Linked DNA regions of Tribolium castaneum. The protein of the gene in region 2 purifies or fractionates together with the protein of the main gene of each other region. This does not show direct contact. Links are inferred from orthologs where the notes say so. Each region holds a gene or a part of one and is shown on either strand. Other genes may lie near its edges. The genes, in order: Fip1, Cpsf73, Sym and CstF64.

Region 1 (6,690 bases), on a different chromosome or scaffold from region 2:
CAATTGCCAGATATGAAAATTAAACCTTATCACATTTTTTTGCATCAACACTGATAAAGTTCTTAAAATAAAGCAGGTTTATATAATTTTTTGACCTTTAATTAAGAAAATAATTGTGTAATTTTAGTGTAACGTTTTTAATTAATTGCCCAGTGGGGAAAATACGATTTGGCCAATGGCCAAAGTTGGAAATGGATGACAAAATAAATACCGATTTAAGCCAATTTTTGGATAAATAAACATCAAATGTTATTGTTATTGCAATAGATTTTCACAGAAATATAGAAGGTCTGCTGATATTTATTATCCCCTGTGTGACTATATCCGGGACATGATCATTATAAATCGACTCTTTCGCACCCTTTGTAATCCACAAGTGAATATAAAAAATGCCACTCTCACAAAACAATTAGTTGCATAACACGCGAATCTTTCGCAGGATAATCTAAACAATTTATCTCCGGTTTTAGTCACAAAGGGGCAAAACTTAAAAGCTTTCAAGAATTGGAGCTCTACATCGCCAAGTCATGTCGAGTTCCTCCTCTGAATATCAATTAGCCGTCATTTGAGCAACGAATCGATTACCGAGTGGAGTTTTTCACCGTCCGTCCGTTTGCAAAAAATGTGCACATGTTGTAGATGATGAACGATTTTCGGTAAGCACCCTCATAAAAGCCGCAGGGTGTAATTATTTTCCGAAACCTTTAACATACCGAAAAACCGATTAATCTTCGCCGAAAGGAAGCAACCAAAAAACATTTATCAAAGCAAGAGAGAGTTTAGCGCTTCATCAAAAGCAAATGCTTGCAACAAGGGGTGTCCGCCCCCATCTGACCTTGACCCTAAACAGCTGAATATCAGGAAACAGTGCCTGGCAACACTACAACTACGAGAAAAACACACAAATAACTTACACAAAAACCTGCAAAAAGGTGAACTTGAGGCTTGAGCCGCCACTCGAGAGATACCTTACGACTTATTGTTTGACACAAAGAACTAGTGCGACATTGACAAACATGCTATCAAGTTGCTTTTGTAATTTGATTGTTTAAGCAAAAAACGTGTCAGGGGGGAAGCCGACTTACATTTTCGGGGGGGTTCTCGGCCACGGCTAGCGCTGAAAGGGGCTGCTTGACACACTTTTATTTCGGAACACACATCGAGACACTCACTTGGCTGTCTTTGGGGCTATTATCACGGTTTTAATTGATGGAAATGAAAATCTCACTGCGGCTGTTTCATTTCAGGTTAACGCGATTTTTCAATTACATCGCTGCGGAAACCGGTGCTTTCGCTCGGATTTTCACATATTGTTCAACAATTTGGTTATTTCATACGCACTGTACCAAAATAATCGATATTTAGGAGAGTATTCTTGCGAACGTACACAAACTCGGTTTAATTTTGACAGAAACCTCTCCTATTTTTGTATAGGCTAAAGTCTGCGCGTGCGTATAACCGGCATTGATTAATTTTTAAAGTCGGATTAACAATAATCATTGCATTATTAACTGTATCACCGGCTACAACGCATTAACTCGCGTTAATTAATAAATTGAACGGTGCCGGTACTTATTTATTTAGCTTAGAACAGTTGTAATTTTGCGTTGTCGGGTTGGTAGCAAAAAAACGACAGTTGACAAGAGATTGATTTATTTCAAAAAAATAAATACAAAAAAATGCTTGTAGGGTTAGATGAACCAAACTATACTTTATGCCTAATCATTAATCAACTAATCGCTTTCATCATGACGCCTTGACTTCTTTTTCCTGTGCCTATGACTGGGGCTCCTGGACCTTGACTTGTGCCTTCTCGACCTACTTCTTGACCTTTCCCTCCTGTGGGACCTCTCCCGTTCCCGATCCCTGGGCCTTTCAGACCTCGCCCTGCTGTCTTCCCTCGTCCTGTCCCGCTCTTTCGAGTCCATCCTAGTTGGGCTATCCTTCCTAGGTGATGGGACAGGCATTGGTAAGTTCATGGGTGGGCCCATGTGCATTGGAGGCGGCCCCAGCGGATTAGGACCTAAAGTCAGAGTTTTAGCATCAATGCCAATTTATAAGTAGCCGCACCTTCAGCCCCCCATTGCGAATCCTGCGTTGGTTCGTAGCCCCCATAAAAGGGCTCCGGTTCGGGGTTGAAACCGTACTCGGGCTGGAAATCCTCAAAAGTGTTGGGGGGCGGTACGGACATGTCTGGAAAACCGGTCGGTTTCCGGCTATACTCCCTCCTATCAGCGGTCATGACCTGAAAAAATGTTACAAAAAATTGGAGAGGGTGATGGGGGCTGCACCTGAATGACGTTCATTTTGGGGGGCTCCACCTTGCCGATGGGCGTGGGGGTGGATCTTTGCGCTGTGCCCCCTATTACGTCAATAGACCCCGTCATACGTCTCCCTGGAGGTGGCCCTGCTTTGCGCATTCCAAGGAAATTTCCTGAATATTTACTGTTATCGTTCATAATTGGAACTGTACCTCGTGCAATTGAAGTCATTTGTGCCGCCAACCCCACTCCCGACTCAGTCATTCTCATTCTATTAAAGTCATTAGTGTGATTTTTTCAATTGCATAATTAACAAATTACCGTTTTTGTCTTTCACAATACGCCCTCCATGTGTCTTCATTAAACCCGTAATTAAAATAATCAGTTATATCAGCACCAGGTTTCCGCCACGGTTTATCTTCCAAAGAATCTAAATTGTATTCAGTCGCAGGGACCCCATTTATCATTCCAGCTTGATCGAACTCCTCCACGCTAAATTTGCCGGGTTGTGGGGGCTGCTTGGACTTATCAACGGGGGCTGTGGTGGTCAGCAAACCGCTCCGTTTGATGTTAAGCGAAGTGTAAGACGGGGTTGTTTTAATATCCCCAATAACAACATTCACGTCATCGTCACTGTCGTCGTCCAAGTCCTCTTCTTCACCATTTTGCTGCACCTCTCCATCCTCTTGGTCTTCTTTCTCGTTGGCAGACTCTTTCTCGGGTTCATCGTCGTCAACTCCTGGTGGCTTGTCATCGTCAATAGGCTAAAAGTGCGGTTAGGAAACGTTTTCGGCGATTTCTCGTTAGGTACCTTCGGGGGAGGCACTGGTTCTGGCTCTTCGGGTTTCTCAGGCGGCTCTTCAACCGGGGGCGGGTCCGCTGGGGGCTCTTCGTGCGTATTTTCGGGCTGATCGCCGTATAACCATTGATCGTCGTTTTCAGCATCGTCCGCCATTTTGACATTTCAATTTCAAATTGCGGAAACGAAAATTTATAAAATTATTAAAGCCGTGATTTTGGTCATTTTTAATTAAATCGGCTTTAAAAGAACATTTAATTTAATTAAAGTGTAGTTATAAAGGATAAATGCGAATGAATTGCGGCAAAACTTGAGTCAAATCTAGGGATTTCGTCTTCACCTATTTAGTGACTTCCTGTTGTCTCACTCTTTCAGTTTATTTCATTGCAATGGGTGAGTACGTGCTTCGATATTTTTAGAAAATCTTCAATCATCCTTTGGTATTTCCCGAAATTATTGGTTTAAAATATTCTCCTTTTATTTCTTGATTAGAATATTGTGCGTTTGAACCCGTATTTTGGTCAGTTTTGTAGAGATATGGTAGGTTTTCGTGACATAACCTTAGTCTTGTTTTCACAATAACATGATGAGAAAAAGTTTAAAGTGTCCGATGTGTTGTGCTGACGACTCCAAACCATCCCACAGCGATCTGAATCAGTCCCTAATTACGCCCTTCATGTTGTTATTTTTTTGGGTCCTAAACATTGCCGTATTTCAGGTATCAGCAGAGACCATTGGCATAAGCGGCGGGCTACAGGAGGCAAAAGGAAGCCTCTCCGCAAGAAGAGGAAGTTCGAGTTGGGTCGTCCCGCTGCCAATACAAAGTTGGGGCCCCAAAGGATTCACTATGTGCGTACGCGTGGTGGCAACTTGAAATACAGAGCCTTGAGGTTAGATACCGGCAATTTTGCGTGGGGCAGCGAAGGCACTGCTCGCAAATCCCGTATTATTGACGTTGTTTACAACGCCAGCAACAATGAATTGGTTCGTACCAAGACTTTGGTAAAGAATGCGATTGTTGTTGTGGACGCCACCCCGTTCAGGCAGTGGTACGAAAGCCACTATATTTTGACTTTGGGACGCAAGAAGGGCGCGAAGTTGGTACGTATCACTTAACTAAAAATGCCCAACATTCCACTGTGATGAATTCTTGCGTGTCATATGAAATTTATGATTAAAAATTTCTTGCATTTGCTGACTATTTTCCAATTTTATGTGCCGGGACTTTCAAGTTTGATAACTAAAGTGTGATTTATTTACAGACGGCTGAGGAAGAAGCTATTTTAAATAAGAAACGTAGCAAAAAGGTGCAAAAGAAGTACGAAACTAGGCAAAAGACCGCGAAAGTTGAACCTGCCCTTGAAGAACAGTTCCAAACTGGCAGGCTTTTGGGTATGTGATGTTGAAATACTAACACGTTTCGTTACTTCCCTGATGAAAAAATTAAAGCGAGTTCAATTCTTAATGGAATTCGTTTTGAATTTCTTTTTGAGCGATGATTTGCTTGTCATAGTTACTCTGATTTTTCATTATCTCAACTAATATTCTTTAGTTAATTCATTGCGTTTAAATACGTTTTTTTTTCCAGCTTGTTTGGCGTCGCGACCTGGACAGTGTGGAAGGGCAGATGGCTATATCTTGGAAGGTAAAGAACTTGAATTTTACATGCGTAAGATTAAATCCAAGAAAGCCAAATAGTGTATTTTCTAATGGCTTTTAATAAAAGTTGACAACAATGTTTCTTATTAAAGTTTTGTCAATCCTTAAATATTATTCCCGCTCCATGTCCTTTTTCCACCAAACAGGAGGGAACATTCTTAGGGAAGGGAATAATCGTGGATGGCATTTTCAACAATAAAGTAGAGAAAATTACGATTTATTGAAGTGGCTTAACATCATGTCGATATTTTTCAATATATTTAAAAACACTAACAATCAAAAATATGTTCGTCCTCGATGCTATCCAAAATGAAGAGTATCACATACAGTCCAGAGTTGCAAAAGAAAAATATTTACATGCTGAAATATTTTAATCAGAATTTAGTTCTAAAAAATAATGGAAAAGATCTGATAAAATAACATTAATTATATAAAAATAATCAGCGACAACTCATTTGAAATTTTCCATCGAATTATAAAAAAGAATTTGCGAATAAAATTCAACTAAGATGGAGGCGGCGCATGAAGAGCAACGTGTAGAGCATGTTGCAATTCAGGTGCTAAAGTCTGTACTATACTTTGAAAGTAGGACTCGTTGGACTGCACCTGCCGCACAAGATTCACCATTCTGTATCCTTCCGGTTTACTCGGTTCAATCACTTCTCTGAAAAACGCCTCTGCGATTATTGTAACAATCCTAGGAATATTGGCATTTCCGGCACCTGAAACAACAATTACAAACAACCCCAAAAGTAATACCCAACCCACCTAAAACATGCGGATTGTTCTGCTCCACCAGATCACACAAATACCCATAAACATGGGGCGCCTCGTCCACCTCTTCGATAATAGGCAACCAACTAAACCACACCGGTAATATCTCATCCACATTGATTCCTTTCGGGTTGTATTTCATGATTTTGGTGACGGCAGCGACAGCATTCTCGGTCGCGTTAATATTCCTCGGTTCTTTCGCTTCCGAATCGTTGATCACCTCAACCAGTGAGGGTATAATCTTGGCCACTTCCCCTGCAAACTGTTCGCCCCCAAACTGGGCCAAAACTCCCCAGCCATAGGCCGCCGCTTGTCTCACTTCATGACTCTTATCCTTGACGTAGAGGGCGAGCGGTTGCAGGAAAAATCCCTGGTATTTGGCACACGCCGGTCCCGTGAACTCAATCACGTCGTCAAAGACGCAAATCCCCCACTGGCGATCGGCCCACGGCCTATTCGGCGTCAACAAATTCACAAAATGTGTACAAATTTGGTCAAAGAACGGTATAAAAGCCTCCCGGTACGACAAAAACAGGGAGTGTATCACATCTGCAATTTTACTCAACACGTAAATATCATCCGACTCTTCGTCTTCAAGTTGCTCTTGGACCACTTCATCGTAATCCTCGTCCAAGTGTTTCTTGTGGCGGTCGTCAGCACGCTCGAAGTGCTCGTTCATCAACTTATCTATTATTCGTAAAAGTTCAGTCATGGCCTCTTGGTCGAGACACCCAGCTCCGAGGGTCTGAATGCACCTCGCGAGTGAGTCTAAAAGAATCATCAAAACTTCGGGTTCGGGCTCCGTATCAATAGCTTTCATTAGTTCAGGACAAATAAACCGCCACATGTCCTGGACGAACGCGGGGCCTTTGCAAGTCGCACACTCCAAAAGCCATGGAAGCGACTCAGCTGCGGCGTTACGGACCCCATCATGGAAATAAAATTTCAACATTGGAACCATCAATTTGACCGTTTCTTCGGCATAATTGGCAAAACCTTCTTTCAATTCTCGCGCGTAACAAACAAGCATCATACATGCGGCCGCTTTATCCTCCAAACCAGCTGTGCGTATGCCAAAGTTCTTTTGTTCGCCGAGAGACACAAACTGCCAGTCGTCATCACCTTCAATTCCTTGCATATCGTCGTTGTCCAAAAGTGCAACGTCTGGTTTCATGGCAGCTGTTCGCATCACAGGAC
Region 2 (7,678 bases):
AAGTCGTGATTTGAAGAAATTGTTACTTCAACTAAAAGAAATTAAAATTGATTCAGTCCATCGGAAAACACGCAGTAAAGCAAATCACTATTTACGAATTATTTTAATTATTACCATTTTCTATTACTTTCTGTTTATTCCGTTTGAGTCCGAACCCTTATTTTACACTCTATTTTTTATTTATCCCGGAATAATACTCTTGTTTGATCATATATTTCTGAGCGATATTTTAGAAATAATTTGTAACGAATTCGAGCAAATTAACCGGGAAATAAAATACCAAACGACGTCACATCGTATTATCTTCAAAACCAAAAAAATAAATGACGAGGAAATAAACGACAAAATGGTTCGAGCTGAACAACTGTCTTTGTGTCACTGCGACCTAACGGCCCTCACATTGAACATTTGTCACCACTTTGAGACGACAATAATCGTGGCAATGATCACTAGCTTCAATTACGTTACTTCCACTGTCTATTTTTTAATCTACTTTCTGGCACGTTCTTACGAAGCCAATTTGTTTGTTTTGTTCGGTAATAACTTTGCTTTTCTTTCGTTCTACGTGTTTTGGCTTCTTCTAATTCTGGAGATGTTCACGAGGACCGAAAAAGAGGTGATTCCTGAGCATCTGACAATTAAACCGAAACGATTTTTTAGGCCAATATAACCGGACGTTACATACACGATATTTGGAATAAGTTTGAAGCGAATGGAAATATGACTAAAAAGCTGCGACATCTTCAGCTAGTTTCGATTCGTTTTCTGAACAATAAACTGGAATTTAGGGCAAGAAATTTTTTTCGACTGGATTGGAGTTTTTGCCACACTGTAAGATTTGTGGAAATTTTTTTCAGTGCTATCGCTTGTTCGTTTCAGATGATAGCTGCCATAACCACTTACGTTATTATATTAGTTCAGTTTCATATCTAATCTTTCTATAGTACAACGGTTTTAATAAAACATTAAATTAACAATAAACTTTACAAAAAATTCAAAATTTACGTCTATTAATGTAACAGTCTGACATTTCTGACAACTACTGTCATGGGTCTCCAAAAATTAAACTTTACAAAAAATTCAAAATTTACGTCTATTAATGTAACAGTCTGACATTTCTGACAACTACTGTCATGGGTCTCCAAAAATTAAACAAGTATTTTTTATCTAGTCTTTTGTGACTTTTGTATATTTGGTTGCGTACATTAGGCGGAGGCCTTGTACAGTTATAGATATTAAACGTTGTGTATATTTTTTAATGAGAACACGAAAGTATTTCGACTGTTTACCCAATTTATTAAAAAAAGTTATTTTAATTCGAAGACATACACACAAAAAATGTTGTAGATATTGCACTGTACTGTAAAAATAAATAAAAATATGTAAGAACAGTGTAGTTATTACATAATTTGCTCAAAAATTTACAAAAATATCTAAATACAAGCGAGAATTAGTCGCTCGTGCCCTCGTGCTATGTAAAGAAAGTAAAGGAGATATTTCATAACTTTCCACCCACATAAGAAAACAAACAAACATGCGATTAATTCAAATGCAAACGACAAAAGGTGAAAGGTCAATTTTTTAATCAATTTATAAATAAATTATCAATCGTCTCAAGTGTTGTAAATACCGATAAACCACATCGCAACAGAGTTAATCAACTCTTCCAAAAGTGAGGTTAGAAACTGTTTTTTCCCTCAATTTTGCAAAATTATTTATTTCCAGATGGGCCGCCTCGTCGAATTCCTCGAAACCCACCGAGGCCTCGTCGTCCTCTTCTTCTGCCTCCCCGCCAGCTACATTTTCAACCTCTTCCTAACAATCCGCAAAACCCTCCACCGGTTTTTCTTCAGCAGCCCCACAAACCACGATTCGCGCGTCCGCGCGATCCAGAAACAAATCCAACAATGGAACAAAATCCCCAAAGACGAACGAAAACTTCTATGTACAGCGCGCCCCAACTGGCTAAGCCTCTCCACCACCTTCTACCGCAAAGACCTGTGCCACAAAATCAACGTCGATCTGTTCGACATTCTGCAATTGGATGAACACAATCTGACCGTGCGGGTCGAACCCATGGTCACTGTGGGCGAAATCACGCAATTTTTAATTCCGCGGGGGTTCACCCTAGCTGTGACACTTGAAATTGCCGACGCCACGCTCGGGGGGCTCGCGCTGGGCACCGGCATGACGACGCACTCACACAAAGTGGGGCTGTACCACGAAACGGTGGTTTCGTACGAGGTGGTTTTGCACGATGGGAGTCTTGTCAGGGCTGCGAAGAACGAAAACGCTGATCTTTATAAAACCCTGCCGTGGTCACACGGCAGTCTGGGGTTTCTTGTAGCCTTAACCTTGAGACTTGTGAAAGTCAAGCCCTTTATCAAAATGAATTATATTCCGGTCGAAGGGAAGAAAAACTACTGTGATATGATCAGGTTATTGTCAGGCGATAGTGGCGATTATCCCACTGAAGATTACGTGGAAGCGACTATTTATAGCCCTGAAAGGGCCGTAATAATGACAGGGTCTTACTCCGACTATGACCCAAACCTGCCGATAAACCACGTAAATCGCTGGTACAAACCGTGGTTTTACAAATACGTGGAAACATTCCTCAAAAAAGGCAAACACACAGAGTTGATCCCTTTACGGGAGTATTTACTGCGCCACAACCGGGCCATTTTCTGGGTCGTTGAATCAATGATCCCCTTCGGCAACAACCCCCTTTTCCGCCTATTCTTCGGCTGGTTGTTGCCCCCAAAGCCAGCATTCCTCAAATTCACGACAACCCCCGGCGTACGAGTTTACACTTTCACAAGACAAGTGTTCCAAGACATTGTCCTACCAATTCGCAAACTTGAGGATCAAATCGATAAATCGGACGAACTTTTCGACGCCTATCCACTTCTGGTCTACCCATGTCGGGTTTATGACAGAGGACCGGCTTCCGGTCAGTTGAAAGCGCCCCGGAAGGAGTATATCGTTGAGGGGACCGATTATGCAATGTACAACGATTTGGGGATTTATGGGGTGCCTGGGTATGTGAAACGCAAGGAGCGGTATAATCCTGTTTATGCGATGAGGGAGATGGAGAAGTTTACGCGTGATATTGGGGGTTTTTCGTTCTTGTATGCCGATATTTTCATGACTAGGGAAGAGTTTGAGGAAATGTTTGACTTGACGTTGTATGAGAAAGTGCGGAGGAAGTATGGGGCCGAGGGGTCGTTCCCACATCTTTACGATAAGGTCAAGCCGGAAATCGATGTGTTCGAAGTGGGGCAACGATTCGAAATCAAGTGAAAATGGCATACAAGTATTTTTCTACGATTAAAAATGTATTATTGGTTGCGTATTCATAACTATTTGTTAATCCAGTTTTTATTTTTTTATGCATATTTTACTGAAATAATATATTCTATTACGTAATAAATTATTTTTTCCATATTCCAAGCGTACTGGATAAGTTATAACCGCACCGAACCGATTTTATTAATTTTATTACACTCACACGATGTCTTGATAAGTTTCAAGTCCGTAAAAATAAACTACATTTTTTTGTACGTTTATGCATTCGTTTTTTATAACAATTTGATAAAAAACGCAGACAGAATTTACGAATTATTCATAATACGATTATTAGCTCAGTGATCATTGCATTAATTATAGTCTACTCAAGTTATGGTTCTCATTGCCAACTTGGTAATAAAATTTTCTATACTCACAGCTACAAAAACTCACCTTCAAATTCGAGATGTGCTTGAACACGAACGGGTTGTTTATTGCGATTTGTCGCTTAATTTTGTCGTTCATGGCGTTGATGTAAGTCTGGTACACAGCCATACATTTCTTAGCCAATGAGGAAGCATAATAGATGGGAATATCGTGTAAATCTGGATGTTGGCTCCAATACTCATCCAAAATTAGAAGCAACTCCTGTGCCCGTCCTAATGCAAAAACGGGGATCAAACAGCGACCGCCTCTGTTAACAATATCGTGAACTAGATTCGTAAAACGACTTTCACGTTCTTCGCGTTTTTCGTGAATGTGGGTACCGTAGGTAGATTCCTGTAATATTTTTTTGAATAAATGTTAGTCAAAATTTAAGTCGTACTGTAATTAGAACATCAGGGTGAACTGTTGGAATCTCCGCAGCCATTAAATGACGGTCTTCCTGACGCGAAAAATCGCCAGTGTATAAAATCTAAAACGAAATTTTCAATAAAGTTGTTTGAAATTTAAGTGTCGTACTTTAACGCCAGCTATCTCAATCATAAACATAGCGGCGCCCAAGACATGTCCCGCATTGTAAGCCCAGAATTTGATCCCCAAAACGTCTTTCTCTTCGTGGAAATTTATTGTCTCGATTTTGTCCATACTAGCCTCCAAGTCCGCCTCAGTGTAGAGCATCTGTTCGGTTGCAATGTTGCTGCAAATTCGAACACATTTCCGATCAAAGTAGGTCAAGGGCCAGTTTAAAAACATAAATCTTATTTTTTTTTAATAATAATTACGGAGAACTACCAGAAATTTTTTTCGCCCTTATTAAGTCACAATTTACCTGACTTTCACATAATCTGACAATAACCACCGATAAATCGCCTTGGTGGCGTGGGTCATAAAGCAGCGACCCTTGAAACTCGTTTTTTGCAAAAACCAGGGCAAAGCCCCACAATGGTCCAGGTGAAAACTGGAATTTCACGTTACAGTTATTAATGTACGAAAAAAAAATGTTTCGTACTGTGATATTAGCAACAAATCGATTTCGTCGGCTTCAATTAAATCAACGAAAGGCAACGCATCCATGCCTGAGAGCCCAGGATGGATTCCACAATCAAGCTACAAGTTTAAAGTCTTATAAACGAATAAAAATCGATCAAACTGACCATAATTTTTTTCCCTTTAAATTCAAGCATTATGCAAGACCGTCCCACTTCCTGACCGGCACCCCTACAAGACAGTGTTAACACAAAATTGTAATTTTTGGAATAATTACAGTGGCCTAATGGTCAAAAGGTCGCTTTCTTCGGCTGGGACTTGGGAATCGGGTTTGCGTTTATTGGACATGATTTCCAAAGCCAAAAACTTTATTTTTTATGCAGCTTTCATGATACACATAACCTAAAAAAATCACTTTCGAAATCGGGGGAATTTTAGGTTTTGAGGTTGGTACAAAATTTAAATTCAAATCAACACGTTTTTCCACCTTGCTGTCTCCCTTAGACCTTATCATACACACCTAAAATGTGCCTGAATTCTGGGTGTTTTGGGGGTTTCACACAAAAAGTCACTTTTTTAATAATCATCTATTTCTACAAACAAAATCGCCTAATACATTTTGGTCTTGCATTATACAGAAATAAAAAATTGGAAACAGTTTTGCTTCATTATAACAATCTCAACATAATAATAATCAGCTCATCCTATTATTAGAACAAATCTCCGCCTATAGTACAAGTGCAATATGTTTATAGCACTGACTTCTAATGGTACAGTATTGAGAAATTTCCATTATTATCGTTATTGTTGCTTTGAAAGTCACGTTAAAAACGTGCTTGAAAGACATTTCTTCTATATAATTATAACAACGCGCTAAACGTCTCTCAAGCAATTCTTTTTCAACCAAATAAAATATAAATAAACAAAAAATCTTGTAATAATACGTGTGCATTGTCAGCTTAGTGTTTGGCTACGAAGAACCCTATTTCACAATGGCAACATAAAGTAATTCGCTACGTTTTTATGAGGACTTATTTTGATTCAAATGATAACGTAAAATAAATAATCAGTCAATCTCGATGATGAAATGAAACCTAAAATAAATGTGCGCTCGGTAATAGTAACAAAATTAACGCATCACAATAATAAAACACAAAACCCATGATATGTTAATTCTGCAACTATTAACAAAATACTGAAAGCTGCACGACAGTACGCATTGTTACGTATAAAACGCTTTGATACTTGAAAATCCTACAATTAAATGGCATTTACACAACCAAAAATCGCAGCTGAATAAAACAGCTTCCTTAATCCGTGAAGGAAAGAAAGGAAAAAAAATAGACGGCGCCACTTTAATCAAGGAAGCTGCAGAATAAAATAACTTTTGTTCGTTTTGGCCTTTGGACGCGAGTCCGGACACATCACAATTTCAATAAATGCATGGACATTAGACAACCTAATAAATTGTGCGGTGGCACTTTGTAAATAAATAAAGTATAAAGTTTATAACCGATAGTACGTACGTTATGAATATTATATTTTTCGAGACATTCATAGTTATAGACCTAAGCAAGATATTACACGGACCCTATACATATGCAATATAAATGCGTTCGCGTACATTACGATGCTATCTGTCTTCAAGCTCTCACGTCTGCAAAGCCGTGGTGATTTCGTCGTGGATCGTTGCTAGTTCTTGTACTCGCGACGCCAGCTGCGAATTCAGCGTGAGGAGGATTTGGCGCTGAGATTCGTGGGCGCTGAGAGCGATGTCCAGCTCGGATTGGGCCAATTTTGCCGTCGCCTGGAGCTCCTGGTTTTCCTTCTGCAACGCCTGCGGGAAAATCACAGTTTTTCAAAGAATTTTTTTTTCACAAAGTAACAGATCATTTTTTTGTGTACGGGAAAATTGAAAAGCAAATTTGAGAAATACTACAAATACTTCTAGTTGCCCAAAAGAAAAAAATATGTGACAAACGAAAGTTTCTAACTCGCTTCATTTCGATGCTTTAAAGTTACCCCAAATTTTTAAGATATGAGCGTAGAATGCAAGAAAAACTAAATTTTTATTTTTTCCAAATTTTTGACTTTACCTGAATATCCGACGGTTTCTGGAAAGCCAACTGCTTGAATTCGCTATTTTTGGCGTCCAGCTCGGCCTCCATCTGTTCGAGGCGAATTCGCAGACTTTGAATTTCTTGGCGCAGTTCATCGGCAATGTCGCCGCCACCTGATCAATAAACAAAACTCTCAATTGTTCTAGTTGTGGGAGAAAACGAAACCGCGTGTCAAATAAACTAGATGCAATAATTATTATCATTTGATTGCTTTCCCATTTACCATATTGCAGAAATGCAATTTGCCATATGTTGCCGACTTTAAGCACCGATTCTTATGCAATTATTACACCGATTTGAATAAACAATTGACAGCCAACTCACCTTTACTATTTTCCAAATCTGCTTGATACTTCGCTTTCATTCGCATATTTTCTTCCTTAAGACTTGCCAATTGTCGTTTCCACTCATCGACGTTTGCCGTGCTTTCTTGAAGTGCACTTGTTAGTCTTGCATTGTTGCTCTTTAACGTGGCCAACTCGATTTCCCATTTTTTAGCATTGGCCGAACTGAAACCATCAATCAGACAAAACGTTTTACTAAATATTAGCACTACTAATCCAATTTCATAACTCTTCCCATATTTAGTTTGCTAAATGGGGCGGAAATAATAACAATCACGTAATATTTATTAGAACATTATTAGTGAAACTGGAAACAATTAAGCAACAACTTCACATCCTTATCCCCAGGCGAAAAACTCGAGATTTTATCGCTTCTTTGCCAACCGGAAGGAAAATGCAATTTTCATCGAATTTAGGAAATGCACTGCGAAAATTAATGTTCCCCTTAATATCGAATTAATAAACAATTACGTAACGGCGCTTGGTGAAGCAGAA
Region 3 (7,664 bases), on a different chromosome or scaffold from region 2:
AACTTCCTAAAATGATTTCCTGGACTGTGGGCGGGATGTGCGACCTTTGCCCTTCAGTAAAATTCAGCAAATGCTCTTTGAGCGGTTCCCTCAACTCGGGACAAATTGACAACGCATCAGATAGTTGGGGCGGTGGTAATTGCATCAAAACAGTAAAACTTTGCGGTTTTGTTCTTTGACAACATTTGATAAATCCCTCCCATACCACTTTCTGTTTCCAAACCTTCAAAAAGCAACAAAAAATATTGATTATTTTTTTTTTGTAATACGACAGAACCTGTTTTAAGATCAGACGTTGCAAAATATTCATCACGAACCCTGACAGTCGGGGATAACTGCCCAAAGCTTGGATGACAGTCCTCATGAGTAGAGTTGGTAGCGGGGTTTGGTCCATTAACTGTTGCAAAACAACAGCTAATACTTCTTGAGTAAATACCTGGAATTTGGTAATTTGAGAAATATATTCGGTGCGAAAATAATTCGTACTTGTTTTTCCTGAAGACACATAGATGTGGCCTTAATTATAGTTTTCAAGTCGGCTTTCGTGGAATCAATTAAATGTAGAGCGACCAAAAGTTCAGTTGGGGTAATTGGACTGTCACCATGTAAGCCTAAAAGTCGGTTAAAGACTTCCCTTACAACAACCGGGTTCAATTTAATTAGCTTTGGCAAAGCTGCAATTACCTACAATTGTACAAATTAGTCAAAAGTACAAACGACGCTCGACCTCATTACTTCTTTCTTTGATAACCCGTTCAAAACTGGGATAAGAAACCTAACATCTGACACTCTCGTGTGATACAATTCCCTGACTCTTTGCACCAACTGTGCACTCGGGGGGCCCTTGTCCGTCAAAACGTGTATAACACGCGTGACCAAAGTTTCCGAGCCTTTGGGACACTCCTCCACCAGTTTTAGAAGCTCAGGTGAGTCCATCCCCATTGATCTGATCGGGGTTTCAAGCAGACGTAGAATAATCCGTTTAATGTTGGCCCCCGTCTGTACGTAAACCTTAGCCAAGTCATGAATAAGACTCTCATTGGCTGGCAATAGCGAAATATACGGAATAAGACAAGCTTTTATAAAATCATCGCCCCAAGTCTCGCTCTTCAACCTCCCTTGACTAAACCCACACAAACTCTCCGGCGGCCTTTGCAACTTCAAAAACTCCAAATTCATTCGTGCAAACTCCTCAATCACCAACCTCAACTCCACCTTCTTGTGCAACTCCAAAACGTGTCCAATGGCACACTCTCTTACCACGCTCAATTCGTACGTCGTGTACGAGAGGAGGGCGTTGAGGAACATCAACTGTTTGGGGGGCTTCCGGACCGTCAAATCGTGCAACAACCCCAAAGCTGCTGTGCATTTCTTCTCGTCTCGGCACAACTGGTGGAGCTTATCCAAAGCCTCGTCTGTTATTAAAGGCGCTTCCAAAAACAATCGACAGAGCACTGCTGAGTCGTGCATACAAGCGTTTATAAATGTGCAAAGCAAGATGTTGTAGCTTTTGTCCAGTTTGGTGTCTTTGCGTAAAGGGGGCACTCTTGAGAAGCCCTGCAGTATTCCGTACTCTTCAAAAAGCCACGCCAGGGCCAGGTCTATGTGAGACCGTAAGTCTGATAGGAGAAACGCCAACACTGTTTGTCTGACAGTGGGGCTAAAGCAGGCTGCGATTGTGGTGATTAGTTTTTGGTACAAGCATTTTGCGGCTGTTTTGTCCGCGGTTAAAAGTCGGTTTATGGACCCTATTAACAATTTCTCCTTTGTTTCTTTCTCGATAGGTTTGGTGATTTCGGACAGTTTCAGTGTCTTGATTCGGGGAACTTTTGCTCGTTCCTTCTTCAGGAGCTACCAAATGTGTAAAACATGTTGTAAAACAAATAGAGGCTTCATTATATTTTTTTTTAAGAATAATTACTAAAATTTCTTTGACCTCACAATTACGATAAGTTATCAAAACATAACTTAAAAAAAATACAGGATGCGTGATACATAACTTCTCAAATCATCCGAACCAACATAAGCTAACAGATAAAGATAAATACATAAATAAATAAATAAATAAATAGACAAATATTTGGTACAATGAATTACATCTTATCTTTTCTTAAATACAGCTGAAAATGTGAAATCTGAATTGCAAATTACTGTTTCTGTTTTACTTATTATTATATTATTTGTGTGCAAAAATTGTTTTCTTACCTTTTCCTTCTCTTCCTTGTCCTCTTCCTCCTTCTCCTGCTGTCTAAATTCCTCGACCTTTTTTGCAAAACTTTTCGAAGACGGCGAAACCCCGGCCTCAGTCAAATACGTGGCAATAAGTTTTGTCAAAACATCAAATTGGCCAACTTTTCCACTATCGACATATTTGCCATACTCTTTCGCAAAATCGGGAGACATTGTAGCCGGCAGTTTACTCATAGAAGCGAAAACCATTTGAACCGCTCTTTCCAACGTGAAATTTTCAGACACAAAGTTCTCATTCAACTCTTGCAGTGTTTGCGAATCACTGTCATTGGTGTCGTTATCGAATTCAATTTGAGGATCAAGTCTAGGTCTTTTATTGTAGATCTGAAGGGACTCAACTGAGAGAGTCCTCTTGCAATATTTCCGCCGCTCGTCGGGTTTCGGTACCATTTTAAGAATGTCTTGCTGGGAATAACCTGAGAAAAAAATCCTAAAAAATTTTTTTGCGTAAAAATAAAACGCACCTAAATCGGTGAGCATTGGGGTTAATTTCTCCACAAATTCGTAAGCCGCTGGGTGTTTGATAAGTCCAGCGAGTTCGGATTTTAATTTTTTACGCACGGAATTCACTTGAGTTGTTGTTAGAGTTGGAGGTAGGTTATTGTAAAGTGATTCAATAGCTGAGACAACTCGAGACATAAATTCGGCCCGATTTTTTGCAATGTTTGTAACAACGCCCAGGCAGGTTAACAAGTTGGCACTGCTAATATGGGGAGAGCCAAAAAATTTTAAAAGTAACTCAAACAAGGTACTAAAAAATTCAATTAGAAATTTGCGAATTTAAAAAAAAATAAATACTTTGCTTCCTCTTCTAGTTTTCGCCTCCGCGCCAATTTTAACGTCAGAGGAACATCATCGAGTGAGAAGTCGTTCGGTTTCTTGTTCTCTTCCTGGTCGGGATAAGTTTGCAACAACACAACACATTCTAAAAATTTCACTGAACTAGTCCTAATGCCGTCATTGTCACTATCAATCATATTTGCAATTTCTAATTTTATGGCAGACAATTGCTTCCAGGCGTTTTCCATTTCTTCTGTAATTACAGAAGCCTTGCATAACCAGGCCAACGTTTTGCGATAAATACTGATTAAAGCTTGAATTACGCGCTTTTGCACCGCTATTGACTCATCACATAGTAGCATATGAAGGTTTAGCATTACTTTAGGTAAAAGAGACTCGCGCATTTTGCTAAAACAAAAGTTAAGTAACCAATTAAAATGCATAAAACCTACCATAACTCTTCAATAAAACCCACTAGCGCTTTTTTCACGTCCCCATTCCTATCAGTCGTGAAATTAAGCATGTTTTGTAAAAACTTTGGCAGCAAATGGGGCGACTTCCGAATCAAAACTTCTTGCAATTTGTGGAAGTATTCAAGCTTTTCTGCAGCAGAGCGGGACACTGCAGCGCTATTTATCCATTGGGTCACCTAAAACGCGTCTCTTTACTACCGAAATCAACTAAATCTCGGTTTTTTACTAAATCCTCGTCGGAAACTTCGTTCATGGTAAAATCCATGTCGAGAGGATTTTACAACCAAAAATGACGCAATTGTTGCCACTAAAGCAACGAAATTTCGAAAACAAAGCTAGTTTTATCTAAAGCGTTAAATTAATTGAAAATGAGAGCCAATCATCCATTTTTGGAAAGCCAAAGATTGAGGTTATGGCAGAAGTGACGTGAACATGTTACCAAAAAACAGTAACTTTTCCGCTTTTTGTTGGCGACTTTTGCTGTCAAAATACTATTGATGTGTCAAAATAATAAAAAATTATTAAAATACAATGTAATTGCTAATTACTTGGAAATTACAATACAATAGATTAAGTAACTATCGAGATGGAATCGAATACGCCATCCGAAAGTGGCAAGAAAATCGTTTTGGAGAATTTATCGAAAGAGGAATTGGTTAAACGGTGCGAACGGCTTTTGATTCTCGCCCAGAAGGCCAAACAGGCGAAGGACGCGCTCCAGGAGGAAAATAACGAGCTGAAAAATAGGCTAAAATCGGAATCTGGAGATGCCACAACTGCAATTATCGAAAATTTGACCCAACAGAAGTTGCAGTTTGTTACCACGATTGAAGACTTGAAGAGCCAAAATGCCGCTTTGGTGAATAAAGTGCAAAACTGCACGCAAGACGCACGTCTGTGTGAGGAGAAGGATAGGCTTGAAAGCGAGAATATTTCGTATAAAAGGCAAATCAAGCGTTTGACGGATGAAAATGAGCAGCTGATTACGCATCTGGAGTCTCTGGAAAAGCAACTCGAAGAGTGCAAAAACCTGGGACTTGAACAGCAAAATCAGCTGCTGATGTTGGAAGAGGCGAATCAAAAGTTACGGAGTGATGACACAAGTGATAAGTCTGCAGAGTTGCAGAAGATGCTTAGTATTAGTTTAGAGGAAGTTAAGAAGTTGCAAGCTGAGAATAACACAATGAGGGAGAAAATTGACGTGCTCAAGACGAATCTGGGGGAGAAGGATAAGAACATTTTAACGATAGGCCAAGAGTTGCAGGAAAAATTGAAATTGGTCGAGGATTTAGAAAAAATCAAAAATGAAACAAGAGAAAATGTGGAGTTGGTTGAGAAACTTAAAGGGAGACTGAAATTTTATCACTCAAAAGTTGTAAAACTGGCCGGTAATGTGAAGGTTTTGAAGGAAAATAAAAACGAGGTTTTGCGTTTGCTCAAAACGTACTCACATCAAGTGGAAGAATGGAAAGAACAGTTGGGTGTAGCTTCAAAAAAGTTGTGCCAAGAAATTAGTGATATCAAAGTACAGAACTCTGAATATCACAAGGAAATTGAAGGTTTGAAAGAAAGTAATGCAAAATATCTGAAACAACTTGAGGCACATAAAACCGACGACGAGAAAAGTAAAGAACTTGGCGAGTTTGAGAGAATTTCCAAAGAACATAAGAAATTGATTGAAGAAAATCAAAGATTGTTACAACTTCAACTTGACTACCAGCAAACTGTTGAAACGCTCACTGTTGAAAAGGAGAGTCTGCTTGAGAATTTGTCTCAATTGGAGGAAAGACATCAGGAAGAAATCAAAGTTTTTGACGACCAAAGCAAGAAAGACACAATTGAGATCAAGAACAGAATCGAAGAAAATGAAAAAATTTGCATTGAATACCGAAAAGTCATCTCCAAGCTGGAGGAGGATCTAGATTTAAACTTGAGGGAGCTAAATGATGCGAAGCAGAAGAATTACAGTCTTCAAGAAGCACTTGAACATTCAAAAGAAACGGAGAGGCAAATTGCTGATAAAACCAGTGAAGAAATACTTAAACTAGTTCAAGAAAATGCCCAGTTGGTGGAAATGAACCGAAAATTGCAAACCACCCGTGATAACTGCAAACAAGTGGAATGCCAAACTGAGGATTCAACAAACAGCGAACTGGAAGAAGTCGTGTCAGGTTTGAAGAGAGAAAATTCCGAACTTTTGGCCGAAATGAACGAAATGAATCAAGCACTGAAAGAAAGAGGAGAGACTATTTCCAAATTGCAATCTCACTGCGAAGAAGTTATGAAAAAATTGCAATTGTATGAGACACAAGCCAACAAAAACGTTGACAACATATCCCAAAAGGAGGAAATAATTAAAAAACTTGAAGACGAAATCGAGCGACTTAAAGCCACGAGTGACTTAAACTCAAACACCTCCGAAATCAGTGATTTGAAAAACGAAATTGAGAATTTGAAAGAACGGTTAAACTCGAATCTTGATTCAAGTTACGCCGATAGCGAGTGCATGTCCACGTCGACAATTTCAAGAACGGAGGAATCAAACAGAATGAAAGATCTGGAAGGGTCTTGGGAGGAAAGATACGGAAAACTACGAAACTTGGCCGTGAAACTGAAAGGGAAAGTTCGTGACTTGTCCAACGAATTGGTGAAGGAGCAAAACGAGAAGAACGATATTCAGCAAAAATGTGCCAGTAACGTGAAAACCATCGCAACTTTGCAAGCCCAGTGCGATAAATTACAAGACGAATTGGACGAAAACAAAAAACAAATAAAGGAATATTCCGCCCGATTGGATTCGACCCTTGCTGAAGTTTCCAAAGATAAGCAAAAACTGAGCGAAAACGAGGAGATAATCACCATACTCAAGAAAGAATTGGAAGAGTTAAACCAAGAGAAAGTCACGACTGAAGCCTGGAAGAAGCAAATAAGCGGCAAAGTTTCGACGTTTAGAAAGGAACTCGAAGCGAATAAGGTTTTGAAGAAGGAATACGAGGCCAAAATCGCCAAACTCACCTCGGACTTGGAGGCCAAAGAACAGGCGCTCAAGGCCGAGAGCGAGTACCACCAACAAACGAAAAATTCCCTTGAACATTCCAATATCGAACGCAAGAAAAACTCCGTCCTTAACCTGGAAATGCAAGACTACGAGAGGAGTGTCAAGGAGTTGTCCCAGAAATTGGAAAAGAAGCAAGAAGAAATCAACAAGTTGAAAAGCCAGCTCGAGTCGCAGAAAAGCACAACAAATGCGGTCCGCGAACAGAACAAGCTTTTAGAAGAACGAGCGGAAGAGATGAAGAGCGAAGTCGGAGCAACACAGGCTGAAATTATCGCTTGTAAGAAGCAAATTTCTGACTTGGAATCGGTCATGTCGAGTAAGGAGAACAAAATTCACGATTTGACCCAAATTTTGGAAACCGTGCGTTCGGAAAATGAGGAACTGTCGACTGAGTTATCCAAAGTCATTGCCGAGCATCAGAAAGTTAACACAAGCCTGAAAAGCGAGAAAGAAAATTTGAAAGGGCAAATTCTGGGGCTGCAGCAGACTTTGAGAGACGTCCAAGATGCGCTAAAACTGAAGGAAGACGAACTGAAAATCGTGCAAAATGATTACGAAAATTACAAGGTTCGGGCGCAGAGTGTCTTGAGACAGAACCAGAGTCGCGATGTTGGTCTCGAGGAAAAATTGTCGGAAGAAGTGTCAGCTCTGGGGGTTAAGTGTGAGGCTCTCACTGCGGAGCTAAACAAGTGCAAGTAAGTTAGAGTGGAAATTTAGTTTTTGTGACTGATGTCACGTTTGTAGAACTGTTGTTGACGATTTGAAGAAGGAAAATGAAGCATTGGTTCACGAAAAATCGGAAGTCTTGACCAAATATGAAGATGTGTTGAGCGAAGTTGAGGACCTTAAATCGCTCTACGACCAACTAACTAACAAGCATCAGCAGACCATGATAGAACACAGCGAGACTGTCAGGAGTTTAAAGGTAAAAATGGATTTGCATGACAGATAATTGGGTTATTTTGAGACAAATATATAAACGCATGCTATGAAAATTATATAATAACTTGATAACTAAAAGAGATTTAAAAAATCTTGAAAAATTATTACATTTTTAAAGTAGTTGATGTATTAATTATGCAACCAATATTACAACAATATCA
Region 4 (7,142 bases), on a different chromosome or scaffold from region 2:
TGCAGCAACTGACCGTTCACTCGCAGGCACCTGGCGTCCGGCTCCGACGACACCAACGTCATCCTCTGGGACCCCTTCAGACACAAGCAAATAAACGTGATCCCGACCCCACACATTGGCAATATCTTTTCCGTTAAAGTAAACAACCCGATCATTTTGGCACCGAATCTGAGCGTTTTTGCAGTTTTTAGCCGACGAAAATGTCATCGCGACGGCGGCCGGGGATTGCCGAGTGGTGGTCCAGAGCGTGTCGGGGGCCCTCGACAAGAGCGCCCCCTTGCTGGACTGCGCGTGCCACATCGGCCGGGTCAAACGCCTGGCCACGGCCCCCGACCAGCCTACTCTGTTCTGGTCAGCGGGCGAAGATGGCCTAGTTGTGTAAGGCAACTGTTTTGCCCAACCAAACACCTTAACTCACTTGCAGGCAATACGACTTGCGGGAACCCCACGAGTGTCCCACGCAAAGCAAGGTCTTAGTCGACCTAAGCTTCAAATCGGAAATCAAATGCATTGCTGTGAATCCCACAAAATCGCACTATATCGCAATAGGCGCCAACGACTGCTTCGTGCGCTTGTATGACAGGAGGATGATCAAAGTATCAATGGTAAAATAGGTAAAATGTTGGGGAAAAACTTGCATTTTTTGGGTTTTCAGGCGAATTTGTCGTTTAATCCGTCGAAGAGGACGTCCCCGCAGCCCCAAAACAGCGACTGTGTGCAATACTACGCCCCCGGGCACCTGGCACGCGAAAATGCCGGCATTATGAGCATCAAACTATCAGTCACTTATATCGCGTTCAATTCCGCCGGTTCAGAAATGTTGGTAAATATCGGGGGTGAACAGATTTATTTATTTGATGTAAATAATAGCCGACACATTAACGAACTCAAAATCCCCCAAAACTTACCTAAACGGCCCCATCAACCCTACCGGAATTGTTGCCAACCGGTAATTATCCCCCCAGTCACTACTAGGAAAATGCAATTTTTTTTAGAACGTACTGTTGGCTGAACTTAACGGGGTCAGCGCCGACTTGTTTGAGAAAAACACGGACTGTGCCTGCTTTTACATGAGGCGGGCGCTACAGGCGTACCAACGCAAGTGGTATTGAGACAAATAGCCAAAAAAAAAGGCTTGTTAATTTTTTTTTTCTTGTTAGGATGGGCGATTTGTATGCGGCAGCACGTGATTATTTACACGTGATTCAGCATTGGCCGGACCATAAACAGGCTTACATTGGATTAATCAAATGCCTAATTGCCATGAAGTGGGAAGACGAAGCCAACGCTTGGTTGAAACACTTTACAAAACTTTACCCCGAATGTGAAACCTCCTCGCAGGTGAAATTCCTCGTTGAGGAGTTGCAAGCGCTCAAAAACAGCGTCAAGTTTGAGGAGACGGGAGTGAAGAAGGTGGAAGATGATGAGAAAAAGTTACGTTTGGATTCGTTCGATTTTGAGAAGATTTACATAGGGCATTGTAATACCACGACTGATATCAAGGAGGCGAATTTTTTAGGTTGTTTGTGGTGGTTGTAGAGTGTTGGTTTTTTCACGGCGGCTTTCAGGTGATTGTGATAATTATATTTGTGCAGGATCGGACGAAGGGATCATTTTTATCTGGGATAAGAAGAGTATGAATGTGGTTAGGGCTCTCTTTGGAGATAACTCGATAGTTAATTGCATTCAACCACACCCTAGTGCCTGTGTTATAGCGTCCAGCGGGATTGATACGGCCGTTAAAATATGGTCGCCTCGGCCTGAGGTAAGCACAATTGCTGGTCTCACTTTGAAATTAAGTTGGCCACTCTACATTACGGCTTTTTTTTAATTCGATAAAGGTTCCAAAAAAAAGGCTAGTATGATTTTTCGAAAACGGATAACTTAGTCACTTGATCGGAAATTTTTCTCCGAAATATAGTAACTTTTTTCTATTAATTTTATTAATGTTGGAGTTTCCGTTGTCGTTTATTTAGGACGGCAAAGTGAACAACCGAATCGTCAAATGCATCTCCACTGTAGTCGAAACAAATCAGCATCGCATGTCAATGGACCCATTCGAATCAATGTTGGCGAGCATGGGTTACCAGATCGAAGGAAGCGCTTTAGACGGATCGTCCATTCAAGAAGTACCAACGTGCCGAACTAGCTAATTTTTTAACAAAACCATTACAACCAGATTTGTAACTGAAAGTTGCAAACGAATAAATCCACCTCTTGTTTACAATTTAATCGTAAACAACCGAAGGAATCGCTCATTTATTTTGTACTTTCTAGAGGGTGCGTTTTTGTTGTTGATTTTTAAATGATATATACACAATACTGTAAATAGTGTTTATGTTAATAATTTTAAAGATTTTTTAATTATCATGTAAACTGTAAAAATTAAACTGATTTGGGGAAATGACTTAATTAATCAACGGTGTGCACTTTTGGCGATTTGTTCCTTCAAAACTAGAATACTATTACGCTGTTCAGGTGGCAGCATTGCAATCTGCTCATCTGACAATTGCAGGACTTGCATAATCAGGGCCGCCTTTTCCTGGTCTGAGGCCCCAGCTGTACCTATACTTGAAGCAACATTGGCAGCTTGGCGAACTTGGGGGGTACTGGGGGGCCCCTGCGGGGCTCTGACCGGCTGCGGAGGCATCGCGTTTTGCTGAGGGGCTAAAATCAGACTTTCAACAACCAATTCAATTACGTACTTCACACATACGCATATTTTTCTGTCTTGGGTCAGCTCGCTGTTGTTGTCTCGGATCAGATGGGAAGTTGGCCGGACCTCCACGTGGGTCCCTATTAAAGCTAAGAAAAAGTATCAGTAAATTGTATTTCTAATCAATTGTAAATGGTTATTTACCTTTCCAATTTCTGATCCTGCTTAGTGAAACTGTTTAAATTTGAGTAAAAGGGCTCAAGGTTGAATTATTTTACTTACTTTTCGACAAGTGGCGGCGGAAGGGGGTTGGGGAGTTGTCCGGGCAAAGTGCGCATGTCCTGGTCGCCCAGGCGGCTGAGGCGAGGATCAGCCCCTCGGGGGTCCAGTGATCTTAGATCAACGTCTTGACCTGCAATAACGCAAACATTATTATTATTTATAATCAATTGTGATAAAAAAAATCACCTGTGAAGACCGGATTGGAATTATTATGAATCGCGGGGGCTGGCACCGGCTGAAAGTCCTGTCTTGGGGGCTGCACAGGCGTGGGATTCGAGACATAATTACTGTTAATCGGAATGGGGCCTGGATTAGTCTTTTCCTTGGGCGTCAAAGACGAAGGAACGGGATTTTGCGGATGCAACATTGTCTAAAACCCCCCAATAAAATATAAATACGCCCCCAAACCCCCAACTCACAGCCGCCGTATGCGGGTCAATAATCCTCATAACCACCTGCGCCTGCAGCAGAGCGTACGCCAACTGGGGGTTCTGCAGCAGCATCTGCCTGGCCTCAGTGGGGTTGTTCTGAATGCAGAGCTTCATCTGCTTCATCAACTCGAACATCTGCTCGGGGGGCAACGAGGCCACGGCTTTGCTGATGGCCTCGGGGGCCTTCTCGGCCTGAATCGGCTCGCCGTAGGGGTTCTCGACCGGGGGCTGGTTCAGCAAGTTTTGCATCTCCATGCGCGATTTCTCGGTACAGGCGTTGTCGACCCGGAGGTTGCGCCCCCCGATCTCGTACCCGTTGAGGTTGCGCATGGCGCTGAGCGCCGTCTCCTGGTCGCGGTACTCGCAGAAGCCGTAGCCTTTGGGCTTGCCTGTCTCGCGGTCGAAAACCAACCTAAAATTCAGGCGTTAGGGGGCTTCAGGGGGCAGGGCAACGTACTTGAATGACAGGACCTGGCCTACTTCGCCGAAAATGTCTTTGAGCTTCTCTTCGGTGGCTTCGTAGGGGATGTTGCCCACTGGAAGCAATGGGGTTATAATTATCACTTAAAATTTAAATAATTTGTACCAAAGACCGAACGCATTGACTTGTCCATGATATTTGCTTCTAAATTATCCATGGTGATTGTTTAATTCCAACTTGGAACGAAGTAATCAAGACACCTGGGACACCAATTTCAACAAACGGTCAGCGTTACCAACCCTCTACCTTTTAAAAAAGTACAAAATTATGCATTTTAAAGCCAACAATAACAAAAATGTTGGTTTATCTATTGTGGTTACAACCCTAAAGTGAATCGTAACGCCTGACTAGGCCTGTTTGTGCACATTTGGCTAAATAAAGCAAATCGGGTCCAGACGCACAGTTGGTACCCATGACAGAATTAAACGTAACCTTACAATTTGAAAATTGTTTTTTGTTACTAATTGTTGGAAAATGAGCACAGTTCAGGCGATTAAACAGCTCGAAGAGCGCAATGTGGCCAGTGAGATTGTTCAAATGGTGTGGAGCGACCGTATGGACCTTGTCGCTCTTGCCAATATCAAAGGTAACCCCCATTTGCAGTAACCGGCATTTTTGGGTGTCTTTGTAGGAGAGGTGGCTCTTCATCGACTCACTTGGACCAAAGCGTGGAGTCTCAGTGCCCCCAAGGATGGGTTAAAGGTCACAAGTATTGCCTGGAGGCCTGACGGCAAAATCATAGCAATTGCGTACAGTTCTGGTAAAATATTGTAAAAAAAGTATTGGAAATAATTTAAATCCATTGTTTTGTGCAATTTCAGGCCAAATACTGCTTGTGAAGGTCGAGAATAAGTCGGTGTTGCACACTATTGACATCAAGGGCGAAGTTTCATGTCTCAATTGGTTGCAAGACCGGACTGTTAAAGGGAAACTGCCTTCAGTTGACGAAGACAGTAAACAGAATCAGTACATGAAACACATTGTAAAAAAACCCGAATGTTAGTGCTCGTTTAATTTCCCAGTTGTAGGACTTATCGGGTAATTTTTTGCCCGAACCGGTGCTACAACAGTTCGATTCCCCCAACAACGACGATGGTCAGAAAACCAACATTTTGCAAGAGCAAACCGACTTTAATTTGCTCCTGATTGGGACAAGTGAGGGCACCGTGCACGTGCGAGTTTTCGGTTGTTTCCCGTGCGCTTCCCTTGACTTGAAGCAAACTCTCAACTGTCTTTGCTCCATCCAGAACATGCATTTGAACGAGGACCTGAACCGCATGTTTTTCACAGTGCGAGACAACGAAAACAACGTTAAATTGATTTGTTTCGATTCGGAAATTTTCAAAACGCACACAAACGAACTGTTCGCTTTGGCCCTCAAACACATAAAATTGACCTCACTGGTGACCTATCTCTCCAACACTATTACCACCATCACCGAGTCCTGGGAGAGCATTTTGCTGGAGATGGACAACAAGTTGTCGAAATATGCGAGCAAGGTGCCAGAAGGGGGCGTCACGGCTGATTTTTTGGATTTGCTGACGTTTGGAATTTGCTCGGATGAGATGAAGACCTTTCTCATACACGATTTAACGAAGAAAGGGTTGGAGAAGTTCGGGCAGACGATTGAGATGAGTTATTCCAACATTCAGAAGTTGATGCTGAAGTATGTGATGAAGTTTGGGCAGAATGTTACCTATCACTTGGCCGAAATGAGGGGGATGGCAAGACTGGAACACCGCTATAAGGTTGGTACAAGTGTGTGGTGGCTGCCAACTCAACAAAAAAATTAAAATTTAATTTTGTGTGAACTTGGCAAGAAAAACCATCAAAAATGCACAAAAATGGAAAAATCACATTTAGTTCGATAATTTCAAAGTCTGAGAAATAGTTAAAAAACAGGCGTATTTTAGACGAAATTTTACGCAACAAGCTACATTGAGTGAAACAAACAAATATCAATCAGGTTTGCTTTGAAACGAATATAGTGTCTGATTTTTTAAACGAACAAAATACTATCTGGCAAAATAAATAAATATTTAGTTTAAAATCGAGCAAATACTACGTGAAAAAAGTCCAAAATATTCGGGGAAACCCCTGACGGCTTTAAAACGCCTTTTTCGGCTTTTCGCTCCCACGTTTAGGACGCGTTTCAATTGAAAAGAAGTTATTAGTGTAAAAAATGGTGATTGGGTGATTGTAGGTTTTGGGTTTGGACGCGGCCGCCATTACCGGCGCCATTTCCTCGAACGGCGCCTTCTTGATCAAAGGCAGCGAAATGCAGCAAATCATCAATCACTCCATCATCAATTACAAGGCCTTCTTCCGCTGGCTCTACACGGCAATAATGCACGTTCTGGATGAGCCAATACCGAACGAAATCCCCAAAATGACTCAGCAAGACCTGGCTTACATCACCGAATTTTTGCAAAACTTTGACCACATCAGTCGGAATAACAAACAAAAGGGGTTCATTATGGAGCGGTTGGGGCAATATTTAAGCGATGGCAATTTGACGATCCAACCAGACATGTCCGGGAACGAATGGACTGATTTTTTGGCCCAGAACCAATGCATCGAAAAAAATAGTTCCATTTTGAGGCACTTCAAAGAGATGTCGCTGATACAACAGTACAAGCATTTGAAGCAAAGCGTCGATGCGATTTTCGCGACACCTAGAGAGCAAATTAGTAGGCAGTTCAGTCATTTGAATGACTTCAATTGTTTCCAATTTTGCGGCGATTCGTTACGGACGTCCCAAGTCAACTTAAACAAAGAATCGATTCTTTTTTGTTACTTGCAGCCGCCTGAGACCGTTCTAGGCCTGCAGGTGTATCTAGACGATGGCAATTGTTTCATAAAGTGTGCGCGTCTGTACTTCCCCCGTGACAATTCCGAGGATAATTATCACGTGATCGATATTAAACTATATTCGAGTGCAGTATTGTCGGTTTTATTGCAAGAAAACACCGTTTCTAAAGCTACAGTTTTAAGTCAGATACCGATAGGTGGCGTTTTGGACAAGTTTGTGGATGGGGGGGAGACAGATCGTGTTTTTAGTGGTGCGGTTAACGTGGTTAGTTTGAACGGTTCGTGTTTGGTTCCGAAGCTGTTTAAGTGTGTGGAGGGGATGGTGGGGGCGGAGTTTGCAGTGTCGGGGAGTCGACGTGTCGGTATCGTATTGGCGGAAAATCGGAGGAAGGTGCGCTTGTATGAAATGGAGGGGGAGGAAGAGGAGGAGGAAGATGCGGAGATGAACAATAGTGGGGTACAAGAATGACTTTATTTACAT

Evidence for each region.
Region 1: the proteins of Cpsf73 (region 2) and Fip1 purify together in Homo sapiens (affinity purification with mass spectrometry; 5 studies listed by BioGRID and IntAct, with this or other methods). This does not show direct contact. The link is inferred for Tribolium castaneum from reciprocal best matches to the Homo sapiens genes CPSF3 and FIP1L1.
Region 3: the proteins of Cpsf73 (region 2) and Sym fractionate together in Homo sapiens (co-fractionation; 6 studies listed by BioGRID and IntAct, with this or other methods). This does not show direct contact. The link is inferred for Tribolium castaneum from reciprocal best matches to the Homo sapiens genes CPSF3 and SYMPK.
Region 4: the proteins of Cpsf73 (region 2) and CstF64 purify together in Homo sapiens (affinity purification with mass spectrometry; 3 studies listed by BioGRID and IntAct, with this or other methods). This does not show direct contact. The link is inferred for Tribolium castaneum from reciprocal best matches to the Homo sapiens genes CPSF3 and CSTF2.

What each region holds. Positions count from the first base shown.
Region 1 is NC_087398.1:1,028,615-1,035,304, reverse strand, and holds Fip1 (pre-mRNA 3'-end-processing factor FIP1), read right to left. Parts: upstream 3,231-6,690; 5' UTR 3,217-3,230; coding exon 3,073-3,216; intron 3,026-3,072; coding exon 2,583-3,025; intron 2,533-2,582; coding exon 2,292-2,532; intron 2,246-2,291; coding exon 2,071-2,245; intron 2,024-2,070; coding exon 1,734-2,023; 3' UTR 1,637-1,733; downstream 1-1,636. Other genes in the region: RpS8 (small ribosomal subunit protein eS8), read left to right, coding at 3,450-3,453, 3,779-4,161, 4,323-4,452, 4,649-4,758; Karybeta3 (importin-5), read right to left, coding at 5,224-5,441, 5,488-6,690.
Region 2 is NC_087396.1:20,617,485-20,625,162, reverse strand, and holds the start of Cpsf73 (cleavage and polyadenylation specificity factor 73), read right to left. Parts: upstream 5,154-7,678; 5' UTR 5,068-5,153; coding exon 4,997-5,067; intron 4,951-4,996; coding exon 4,887-4,950; intron 4,840-4,886; coding exon 4,742-4,839; intron 4,691-4,741; coding exon 4,562-4,690; intron 4,430-4,561; coding exon 4,252-4,429; intron 4,205-4,251; coding exon 4,115-4,204; intron 4,069-4,114; coding exon 3,742-4,068; intron 3,448-3,741; exon of another isoform or gene 3,304-3,447; coding exon of another isoform or gene 1,726-3,303; intron 1,673-1,725; exon of another isoform or gene 1,489-1,672; intron 1,019-1,488; exon of another isoform or gene 880-1,018; intron 832-879; exon of another isoform or gene 661-831; intron 617-660; exon of another isoform or gene 352-616; intron 1-351. Other genes in the region: delta(24)-sterol reductase, read left to right, coding at 1,726-3,303; homer protein homolog 2, read right to left, coding at 6,371-6,556, 6,816-6,952, 7,164-7,348. UniProt on the Homo sapiens protein: Component of the cleavage and polyadenylation specificity factor (CPSF) complex that plays a key role in pre-mRNA 3'-end formation, recognizing the AAUAAA signal sequence and interacting with poly(A) polymerase and other factors to bring about cleavage and poly(A) addition.
Region 3 is NC_087398.1:8,153,667-8,161,330, reverse strand, and holds the start of Sym (symplekin), read right to left. Parts: upstream 3,917-7,664; 5' UTR 3,769-3,916; coding exon 3,730-3,768; intron 3,680-3,729; coding exon 3,483-3,679; intron 3,439-3,482; coding exon 3,049-3,438; intron 3,002-3,048; coding exon 2,715-3,001; intron 2,667-2,714; coding exon 2,206-2,666; intron 1,852-2,205; coding exon 736-1,851; intron 685-735; coding exon 487-684; intron 437-486; coding exon 278-436; intron 224-277; coding exon 1-223. Other genes in the region: GRIP and coiled-coil domain-containing protein 2-like, read left to right, coding at 4,090-7,256, 7,306-7,486. UniProt on the Homo sapiens protein: Scaffold protein that functions as a component of a multimolecular complex involved in histone mRNA 3'-end processing. Specific component of the tight junction (TJ) plaque, but might not be an exclusively junctional component. May have a house-keeping rule.
Region 4 is NC_087400.1:319,052-326,193, forward strand, and holds CstF64 (cleavage stimulation factor subunit 2 tau variant), read right to left. Parts: upstream 4,211-7,142; 5' UTR 4,008-4,210; coding exon 3,956-4,007; intron 3,906-3,955; coding exon 3,827-3,905; intron 3,782-3,826; coding exon 3,358-3,781; intron 3,309-3,357; coding exon 3,125-3,308; intron 3,069-3,124; coding exon 2,939-3,068; intron 2,891-2,938; coding exon 2,861-2,890; intron 2,806-2,860; coding exon 2,717-2,805; intron 2,668-2,716; coding exon 2,417-2,667; 3' UTR 2,321-2,416; downstream 1-2,320. Other genes in the region: WD and tetratricopeptide repeats protein 1, read left to right, coding at 27-138, 185-378, 425-605, 656-949, 996-1,105, 1,161-1,519, 1,569-1,765, 1,977-2,153; APC4 (anaphase-promoting complex subunit 4), read left to right, coding at 4,325-4,436, 4,482-4,610, 4,672-4,832, 4,879-5,598, 6,054-7,130; uncharacterized protein LOC659212, read right to left, coding at 7,137-7,142. UniProt on the Homo sapiens protein: One of the multiple factors required for polyadenylation and 3'-end cleavage of mammalian pre-mRNAs. This subunit is directly involved in the binding to pre-mRNAs.